Linked DNA regions of Bombyx mori. The protein of the gene in region 1 interacts with the protein of each later gene in a biochemical or structural test. Links are inferred from orthologs where the notes say so. Each region holds a gene or a part of one and is shown on either strand. Other genes may lie near its edges.

The links.
Region 2: the proteins of Dorsal (region 1) and cact form a complex in vitro, tested with the Drosophila melanogaster proteins (2 studies listed by BioGRID). The link is inferred for Bombyx mori from reciprocal best matches to the Drosophila melanogaster genes dl and cact.

Annotation. Positions count from the first base shown.
Region 1 is NC_085118.1:1,075,733-1,081,703, reverse strand, and holds the end of Dorsal (embryonic polarity protein dorsal), read right to left. Parts: coding exon 5,819-5,971; intron 4,742-5,818; coding exon 4,557-4,741; intron 3,494-4,556; coding exon 3,264-3,493; intron 2,964-3,263; coding exon 2,808-2,963; intron 2,734-2,807; coding exon 1,594-2,733; 3' UTR 1,430-1,593; downstream 1-1,429. UniProt on the Drosophila melanogaster protein: Embryonic developmental transcription factor. The lateral or ventral identity of a cell depends upon the concentration of this protein in its nucleus during the blastoderm stage.
Region 2 is NC_085118.1:17,178,076-17,183,010, forward strand, and holds the end of cact (cactus), read left to right. Parts: intron 1-2,079; coding exon 2,080-2,292; intron 2,293-2,847; coding exon 2,848-2,925; 3' UTR 2,926-3,451; downstream 3,452-4,935. UniProt on the Drosophila melanogaster protein: Involved in the formation of the dorsoventral pattern. It inhibits nuclear translocation of the dorsal morphogen in the dorsal region of the embryo. Acts as a negative regulator of the NF-kappa-B (rel) signaling pathway.

The DNA.
Region 1 (5,971 bases):
TATATCAGCGTATCGTTTCAAATCTCAAATATCATGAATCGAGAAAATCTACTAGCATCCATCAATATATAGATTCAATATCCGATATTGATCCTCGATATATAGATACGATTCGATACGGGGTAAAACCGATATTACCCACTCCTACTTCTCATCGAGTAGCCGCCATGCCCATATTATTGTATTTTTCTCATAAACTACTAATAAAATTGACCGCTTGTCTTAGGACATCACTTGAATACACTTCATAAGTACAACATTATAAAAGCGAAACCTACAAAAATAGTTAAATTGATATTTAGTTAATTTTTTAAAACTTTGCAATTGTAATTGGTCCTATTGTTAATTCCTTTTGTATGTAATAGATACATGGGTCCCGGCGGAGGCAAAGATAAATCGGATGATGAAAAATTGTTTGTGTGGCTGTGTGGCGAGGGGGACCGGGGCCGGACATTCCGCCCCTAGTGCGCCCCGCGTTTCCTCTCTATGCCAGCGCATTCGTTGTAGGTGCTCTAAGACCAGCACTGATAATTTAATTTTGTGTTTCATAAGCTCATACCAATCATATTGGAACTGATTTTTCTTTAGAACTTAAAGGTATACCTTCGTTTTAAAAAAAACAACAATGAGAACAACATATACCCTACCCTAATTTTTTACGCAACATTTTTTGTATTTTTTTTTATTCAACACCAAAATATTTGTTAGTAACATCCACTGCCATTAAATAAATAAATCCTAAACTTATATCATATTAGAAGAAAACATTAGTTGTTAAAATAATCAATTAAACTGAACGCATCGTTTTCAATGTAAACTATTCATTTGTGGTGTGGCAACATTTAGGGGTTGCCATGTGCGAAGCACCAATATTTATATTAATCTTATAAATATAGAATGCGGTATAAGATATAAGAATATATGTTGTGTTTAATTATACATAATAAATTTTGTTGGAAATACATTTCTTTTTAAATAAATTTTAAAATAATCAGACAAAGTTGGTGTGTATTTTTTGAGAATTTCAACAGATTTTGTTTTAGTAAAAGTTTATATAAAAATTGTTTCTAACAATCATTTTTTATGACAAAAATGTAAGAAACAAATGCACGACGTATGTGTGGAGTAAATCATAGTTTAATGATGATACCCTTCACCGTATAAATGTAAATAACATGTAATGATACATATTTAAATAATTAATTTAAAAAAATGCGCGGTCCCGTCAGTGAGCAAATTCTACCTTTCACCGTTATTCATGTAAACTATAGAATTTGCTGCAATCGGAACTTCTTTAGATAATAAATCGATAAAAATTGATGTAGACTTACTTTCTTGCTCATACGCGGCCATTAATGGCATTTTGGTCTTCCGCTTTTTACCCAATATGTAATTTGAATCTAAAAAAATTTAAATCAAAATATTAGTCGGACAAATCGACAGTTTCTCAACAATCAAATAAGTATATGAGATATTTTAATTAACAATTTGTAACGAAAACAAAGAAAAACGAAAACTTAACAAAATAAATAGTAACGAAAGCGTAAATTAGACTAGAAGTGGGGGTTCGGGGGAGGGGGCACAGGGAGCCCCTCATTGACGAAGGAAGTTGCTCCCGTCCAGCGGGGAGTAGTACGAGCTCTGGTCGTCGAACTCGGACGCGGTGGCTCGCGGCGCCAGCGCCATGTACAGCGCGTAGTGCTCCGCCTCCGTCAGCTCCAGCTCGTCCTGCAGCCGCCGGAACGACGACGCGTCCAGCGCCAGCACGCTCTCCGCCACCAGGATCGCGTCCGCCGGCGGCGCCGCGCACACCGACACGTCCTCGTGCAGCGACACGTGCGTCACGCTGTCCGCCGCGCGCAGCCCCCCGCCCGCACCCCCCGCCGCGCCCCCCGCCGCCCAGCGCGCCGGCCGCTGCCCCGACACGCTGCTCACGGAGCGCCCCACCGGCCGCGCGCGCGCCTCCTGCACGCTGGGCGCCGGGGACTTGTCGCGCCGCCGGAACAGCCGCGAGAAGAACGAGCGCTTCTTGGCGGGCGGCAGCGCCGGCTCGCTCCGGGCCGCCGACAGCTTCTCGTCGGGCGGCGGCAGGCGGGCCGGCCGCGCCGCGCTCTCCACGGACGTCTGGCTGGACCTGAACTCCGAGGAGACGGACTTGCGGACGCGCTTGGGGGGCAGGGGGGGCGCCTCGTCCGTGTCGCGCTTCAAGGGCGTGAACTCGACGATGGGGCCGCGAAACGTCTGCACGTGCACGTCCTCGTAGGGCGGCGGCTCGGGCTCGGCGATGGGCAGCGGGTTCTTGAAAGCGAGCTGCAGGCTGGTGTAGGTGCCGGCGTCGTTGAAATCGTCGGCGTCGGTCTCGGCGTCGGCGGCGTCGGCGGCGCGCTGCAGGCGACTGCGGCTCTCAGAGTAGATCTCGTCGAGCTCGGCGACCTGCTCCAGCAGATCGTCGAGGCTCTTCTCGTGCGGCTCCGCATGTCCGTTAGTCTCGGCGGCGGCGGGCTCGGGGTCGGGGGGCGGGGGCGAGGGTACGGGGTCGGGGGAAGAGGGGACGGAGACGGCCTCATCCTTGTTGTTATTATTGGTGTCGCGTTTCTCAGCGAGGAGAAGGGAGAGGAAGGACAGGTCCGGGGGCGGCTTACGGCGAGTGGTACCTCGGAAGTCCGGGATGTATTCGAACGCGAAGGAGTTGCTCCGCGCGTCGTCCGTCAACCTCTTCAGCTGGAAGTGTACCTGTAACGGGAGGCGCGTGGTTAGGGGGGCGGGCGGGGGGCGGGGGGCGGCGGGGCGGCGGGCGCGCTACTCACGGTGACGTGCTCGTCGCGCTGGGGGTCGCGGTAGGGCGGCGTGTTGAACACCACGGCGACCTGCTTGTGCACGTAGGACGGCGTCACGGTCTCCTCCCACACTATCTGCTCGTTCACCTCCTGGTAGAATATCACCGCCGTGTCTTCTTTCGATACCTGAATATTGACGCCATTATTGTTATCGATCACTGAGTTTAGAGTTTTGAATGTTTTTTGGAAAAAAGAAAACTTACATCCTACCCAGTATTAAATATTTAGCAGAATGTACCAACACAGTATGATGATACCGCTCATTTTGAGTCGTGAATATGAAGTTCTAATTGAAGTGGATTTTATTTATTGTTCTGGACCCCCTTCAAGGGGGGACCCTTGCTTTCTCCGCAGGAGAAACAGAACGGGCTTCACAAGCTATTCTTGGGCGAGGTAGGGACACAAGACGACAGAGTAGTGACGTACCTTCTCGCAGAGCAGGATGACCTGCGTGCCGCCGCGGATGGTGCCGGAGCAGTGCGAGGAGCGCATGATGAGGAGGTCGCTCATGGCCTTCTTGTCGTAGATGATGTCGGACACGACGGCGGGCAGCGGCCGGCGCATGCGCCCGGCGCCGTCCGGCACGAACACTTGGAAGGCGAGCCGCACCGCGTTGAGGTCGATGCTCTGCGTGTGCGAGCGGTGGTCGAACCCCGCTGTGCCAAACGTACACTTTACATGCACCCGACCTACACTAGCACGTGTCGCCATCCGGCTTTCTCTAGTGAGGCCAGAGGAAGCCAGATGGCAGGCGCTCGGAAGCGGTGCGGTAGGCGCCACTCTCCGACTTTAGATCCAGCATTGCTTTCTGGTGGGCTGTGTGCTCTTCTATGATAAACTTAAATGGCAATAAACAAGATTTTGATATTTATGTCGTTAATTACGAGGAGCGACGAAATTATGAACAACTTGACACGTCTTCATTTGTGTTTTTGTTATTTATTGCTGTTGGACGAGCTCACGGTCCACCTGGTTTTAAGTGGTTATCGGGGCATAACTACAACGTAAATGGCGTAATCGACTTCGAGACATGAGTTCTAAGGTCTCCGTTTTTTTACTGTACAACGGCTGTCCCTACCTTAAAACCGTAAAGTATTATTGCTTCAGGGCAGGAATAGGCAGAGTGGTAGTACCTACCCGTGCGGACTCACAAGACGTCCTGTCACCTCCTCATGAAACCGTCACCATAAATTAAATTTCTATTTATTTCATAAATATTTGACCGAAATTTTGAGTGATCCGGCGCGCCGACCCGCATTTCCTTCCATGGCGGTCGCGCGTGTAGTTGAACAATTAGGGATATTTTTGGACGAGCTATTTCGGGTAACGCATCGGAGCCCGTGGCAGTACAAAGCTAGCAATAAGTTGTACTTTGTAAACAAAATACGTTATACGATCTCAATTCAAAAGCTTTGGTCCCTTCGCGAACCTTACTATACTGGCGCATACTTGTAACAACTGAATGACTGCAACTGGGCGTCTTCTCTCAAATCTGATCTTAATAAACGCACTTTTAGTTCGCAAACGGATTTGATGTTACGAGTCATACCAGACAGACACAGAAAGCAGTATTTTGTATAATGACGTCAACGTTTAGAGACCTTTAAAAATTATATAGCTCGAAACACGACTCTACCAAACTATTTGTGTTCGTGTATTGCGTGACGTGAACGTGTGATTATTCCTAGAATAAAAAAATTGGATTCTAATAGAACTCACTCCTGAAGGGGTCCACCCTGAGCTCCTCCCGGAGGCGCAGCTCGGCGACGATGTCCTTGCGCTTGACGCATTGTATCCCAAGGTTCCTGAACTGGTACTCGTTGTTGTCCTCCGTGACGTCGGTGCGCACCGAGCACACGCCGCGGTCGCAGCGCTCCCGCCCCACCAGGTTGTGCGGGTGCGGTCTGCGCGTCACCACACACGTAACAGGTACATACATACAACTCCGCAGGACAACGCCCAGGGAATAATGCCCTTGTAGGCAGACGAGCACACGGTCCACCTGATGGTGAGTGGATACCGTCGCCCATGGACTTCAGCATTGCCAGGGGCAGACCCAAGCCGCTGCCTACCGCTTAACTCGTTTGAAGAAGAACATGTCATAGCGCTCGGGAAACACCGTGGAGGGGCTCATTCCATAGCCGGATGGTACGCGGCAAAAAAGACCTCTGGAAACGTACTGTGGATGAACTCTATTCCGATGGCGGGCGGTGGGATGGTAAAAACGAGATGACGGTATCATCTCGAACAATTCGAAATCGACATATTGCAACACCGCGAACCAAATTGTGTTATTATTGAAAATTCATTTGTGTATGATCGGAATTCATTGGAAGAAGACCTTGTTCCAGTATTACGTAAGCAAATTTATTACAATCATTCACCCCCCCTTTCCCCTTGTCAGCATAAGTAAACAAAGCTCTGACCCCAAATGCTAACGTGAACATTAGTATATGAATTTTTCTACTAACGTATTCTAATTTTTTTAATGATTAATGAGCAGCAATTATAATTCTAAAAATAAGAAAATAGGCTTATAGGATAGAGTACTTTAACGCACATCATATTCACTTATATGCGCGCAATAATTCCCCTACTCTGTTCCAAGCGAGTACGTAAACGTATTATTATTCATGGGAATCCCCGAAAATGCGTTTCGTTTTCAAGCATAGACAATGTGTAGGTTGTCAATATGTGTAAAAAAATAAATAACCACTGCGACATAATCACCCCACATGTCACCAAAAATAAGCAAAGTAAACCCGCACGCAGTCAGTCAGTAAACGGAACTACTCGAAGCGAAACAGCGAACGGATCACCTGAAGCGAAGCGGAACAAGCGAATTGAGTGTTTTAAAGTGTTTGTGAAGTGTTTAAGTGTTCCAAGTCTTTAATACAGTTTTTTTGTTGTAGTTTGGTGAAATTTTATTTATAGAACACCAGCGCGTAACAATATTTTAGAAAAAAAAAGACGACACTTACTTAAACGGGGGATCCTTGTTGACGCAGGACACGACTATGGTGGCCGGTCCCTTGTAAGAGCATATCTTGATTGTAGGATAAGTTTTGTTCTCCGGAGTACTGGACACGCCCGGGAGCGAGCCCGCCGACCGGCCCTCGCATTTATACCGGAAT
Region 2 (4,935 bases), about 16 Mb from region 1:
GCCCAAATTCGACTATAATTAATAATTGGGATTGTAAGTTTGTACACTATTATGATTGTATTTTATACTATTCTATAAAAATAATAATAAAGACAAACAATATTTAATCTAATCTCAATTTGACAACAAACGTCAAGAACAAAAGTTTGACAGTAAATAGTATGCATGCGTGTGTGCGTCAAATACATGGTATGTAGTGTGTGTAATGTTTTCTTTCTTGATTTAATGTATCTTTTATACATTATTTTAATAAAATATTAGCATTGTGCACTTCTTCTCTATATTCTGTATAAATGTGGAAAATTTCATACTCCTCCGTCCGCGCAATTTTCGTAAAAAGGGATACAAAGTTTTTGCTTCACGTATTAATATATAGATATGTGACCCCGCTCTATCCGGGAGTCATCTGTCATACCAAGAGTCAGTGACAGTCGATTCTACAAGCTCAAATATATGCCACTAGAACATTGTGATTTTTTGGTCTATTACATGTGCACAAATTTAGTTATTTATTGAGACTAAGCCACAAGGCGCCACGCGCGATCTCTAGCATCATCACGTCACAGTCTTCACACGACTGACCCCAGCCTGATGTTATTGAAAGTTGAAACGGTTCATACATTATACTCGTTCCGGTAATAAAATAGGTCTATAGTTCAGAAGTACGAACATATGTATATAAATAGAGATATTATTTTACAAAACTACATTAAATATGGAAATTAGTGTGTCAGAATATTCATTGAATATCGTCGCCACGTAAAGTGTTATTATATTGATAATTAAATTAAATACTTACGACCTGAATTCATATTCCAATAAATAAGTAGTTTTTTTAAATATTAAGCAAAATCCCTGTCTTTGCGAACTGATAGATGGAACTGTTCTTATCAGCGACTCTAGGAGAATAAACGAAAGTAGCCCTCAAAGGATCTGATGCGGTTGGATACAGAATCCAAATCACTCACACACTCATTGAATATTGTAATCGAATCAGTTTTTTTTTTTTTGTGTATAATGAAGTAATGCCAATGTCCATAACGGAAAATTCAAAAAGGTAAAACAGAAACAGTCGATTCGGGAAAACCCTCTTTCAGCACTATCTCCTGATAACGTTGATAATAAAATTGGGTTTTTCTGTACGTAAACACGTTTTGTTGTTTTAGTAACGATATAAGCTTGCCTACGTGTATCCTTGTGTCATTGTTTTGTTCCCAACTCGTATGTTTCGAAAAACACAAAGAATTCCCACTGTTTACAGAAAAAAGAGAAATGTATTCAATTCAGCAGTAATTAGTTTCTTGATATACCTACGTTCTTATAATATATGTAGGTAGGTAATATTTATGTAGAATTGTTACAATGAAATAATCTAAAATTTATCGTGACTCATATTATATGCTCGTAATTTTAAATATAATGTCGTTGTAACAGACAACTAAGGAAATTATTTTCAAAATTGAAGTAAACCGTTCGGTCTACGAGCCCAGGGAACATAGTTTGCTGTAGAAGCAGTTACGGATTTGGTCGGGGAACAAACATACCGATATGTAGAAAAAAAAACCGATTTGTTTGCACACAAAATAGATGCTTTTATATATTCAAATAAATATTCTGTATTATTAAAACATAACGCGTAAAAACAGGAAAACCTGAAAATTTACCGCAGTTTCACTGTGTGATTTTATCACGTTATTATTGCTTTCCAAATCTGCGAAAGAGTATATTTTTGTAATAAGTGGGTTTGCCAATGATTGTACATTTATTTATTGCTTAGATGGGTGGACGAGCTCACAGCCCACCTGGTGTTAAGTGGTTACTGGAGCCCATAGACATCTACAACGTAAATGCGCCACCCACCTTGAGATATAAGTTCTAAAGTCTCAAGTATAGTTACAACGGCTGCCCCACCCTTCAAGCCGAAACGCATTACTGCTTCACGGCTGAAATAGGCGGGGTGGTGGTACCTACCCGCGCGGACTCGCAAGAGGTCCTACCACATGTGGCGAGGGTCAGAGAGACGTAGCTTTGGACCCGAGTGCGGTCGTTGAATTAACTTGTTGTGTCTGTGGTGATCAGGAGAGGCTGGCGGGGTGGACGGCGCTGCACATCGCGGCGCGGCGCGGGGACGCGCGGCTCGTGGCGTTCCTGCGCGAGCGGGCGCGGGGCGCGGGGGGCTGGCGCGACCAGGCCGGCCGCACGCCGCGCTGGTACGCACGCCGCAACGCCGCCCGCCACGCCTTCGGCCCGCTCAGACCGGACAGCGACTCCGATTGGGACTCCGATGATGATGTAAGTTAGCTGTCCACACGAATCGACTAGTGGCTATAGATGATAGCTCTATGCCACTCCTTATTTATATCACAAGTATCCACTTGTAACAGCACTGTTTCTAAAATAATAATAATAACAAGCCTGTTATTCCATGCAAATAGTAGGTTACATACCGCCCATACACAGAGCCTCCCAAAAGGTGGACCGACGACCTATTGAGGTTCTGGAATTCACCGGATGCAGGCAACGCAGAACCGGTCGTTGTGGCGAGGCTTCGGGGAGGCCTATGTCCAGCAGTTCACGTCTGTAGGCTGAAAGATAGATAGATATACACATACGTCAGGATGTAACCCTGTTGCTCTCCATCCACATGGACTAATGAAAACTATCCCCACTCTATTTATCATTTTTATTCGGAGAAACCATATCACCCAGATGACTGCAACTAATATTATGTTTACACCCTTGGTGTATTCTTATATAAGTTTGAAGCTGTCCAGTTTCCACGTTTATTTAATATCAGTAGGCATTTCTCTTTGCAAAACTAATAAACTAATATGTCGTTGTCCATAGACGAACGACAGCGACAACGAGAGTCTGTACGAGAAGATCAAGGAGTCCCGGAGCGGCTCGTCGATAAACGTCGCCTAGGACACCAGGACACCGCCCCCTCGCCCCCCGCCCCGGACACAGGCGGACCTCACCCCGCGCCCCCCTGCGCGACCTCAACGCCGCCTTGGATAATGTTATTACGTTCCAATCTGATATGTATCATAGTTTATTAATTTCTATAATATAAGCAGAGTTAATTATGTATATGAAACAGAGTTTGTTTGTCAGTCGTCGATGGTCGGAATGAACGTGTAACAAAACAGCAGGTCCATTTTTACAAAACGAGTTTGCCTCGAAAAATCTGTCCTGTGCTCTCCGTCTCAAATGTTGTCGACATCGAAATGATCGTCGTTAAAGTTATAAAGTTGTTAATGAATCGGACAAGAGAAGCGCCCGGACGGATGTACAGTGTGCTGTATGTAGCATAGCGTATTGTAGTCTTCCTTAGGAAATGTTCAATATTATTGATACTGTATAAATAGATTTGAATACTTCTAGTTAAAGTTACGCTTACGAATAATGTTGTTTAGTCATAGTTATTTAATTAAAACATTTGTTTTTGAAACTTCGCCTTTTCATTTCGAACTCTGTACCTCTGAGGACATTTTTTTCGAGGAAAAATCGTTGGTCGTTTGTGTCGCGATGTGACGTCACAGGGATGATGTCACTATTACATTAAGGGTGCTCCATATACGATCGCACGGAGCACCGACGCGGGCGGGGCCACGGGTCGTGTGCGGACCGCCCTATGCGCATCTGTTAACAAATATCCAGATTTAGATTGGAAAATATTCTTTCAAGAAAAAAAATTTTTGCGATTTTAGGGTCGTCACAACCGATCGTCTCTCAGTTAACTGTTGCATATCAATAAGGGTTTGTTTGAGCATTTAGTACATGCGATGCGATGCGATGCTAAGTCGGCTGCGACGCGATCGTTAGGGCCCCTAGTGGCGGTAAAAATAAATAATGACGTGTATGTAACATACATACTAAAAAAAAAATTATTTATGTACTCTGCGTATATTTCATATGAATATTCATCTATTATTTAGTGTGCATAATTAAATTATAATCTCAAAATTTTATAATTAATATAAATCTTGGTTATCTCAAAGATCGTTCTCATGCGAGTTTTGAAAAACGCAAGTATTTTATTGTAGCTTCAGAAGCTTTGTCTTGCTCGAACTTTTAAGTAAGCGGCAGTTAAGTCAGGGCCTAATTAGACGCGATTGAGGAAAATAGCCAAAAGAAAACAATAAATCTGAATACAGCAACTGTTTTCTATTTCATGTTTTCTCGATTCTGGGAAATTAATATTAAATATAACGTATATAGTACTTGCATTTTTAAAAATTGAAATGACAGAAAAAATATGTTAAGCCGAAACCCCCTTTATTTATTAGTTAATAATATTTATATAAAGACAATAGGATCCGGCGCGCTCTCTCACAGAACCGACTCGACGGACCGCAGGTTCGGGGGTCGCCACGAGCCTCGCCGACGTCACCGAAATACTCTGTACTTTCCAAATTATATGAATCCCACCTCTAAGTTAGATGGAACAGGGAAACAACACATTAAATATTACAACATGTTCCTTTCACATACAAAAATAAAATGTTAGAATGAACGACTAATACGTATTATGTAATGATTATAAATATATGGGTGACAAGTGTAATAATATCATAAAAATATACATTGTATACAGCGGCTAAGCTGCTTGCCGTGTTTATATTGTTGTATGAAAATAAATTACATATATTTTATCAAAATTTGTTTTAATTCGGTTAACTAACGTTCTGTGTGCGCTTGCACATTCTACTTCACGAGTTACGGCATAGTTCAGTTACCAGTTAGCACCTCTAACAAATTTTTATAGGTGTCAGAATTTAGAGACAAGAATCGTTTCTAGAAAGTTCCGCCCGTGCGTCGCGTGGCAGCCCTATGCTCCGTCTAGACGCGATGCTGCGGGCCTCTGATACTATCACAAGTCTGCGCGCTGTATGTCTACGTCATCGAATTTAAAACGAAACCGCGAGCGATGTT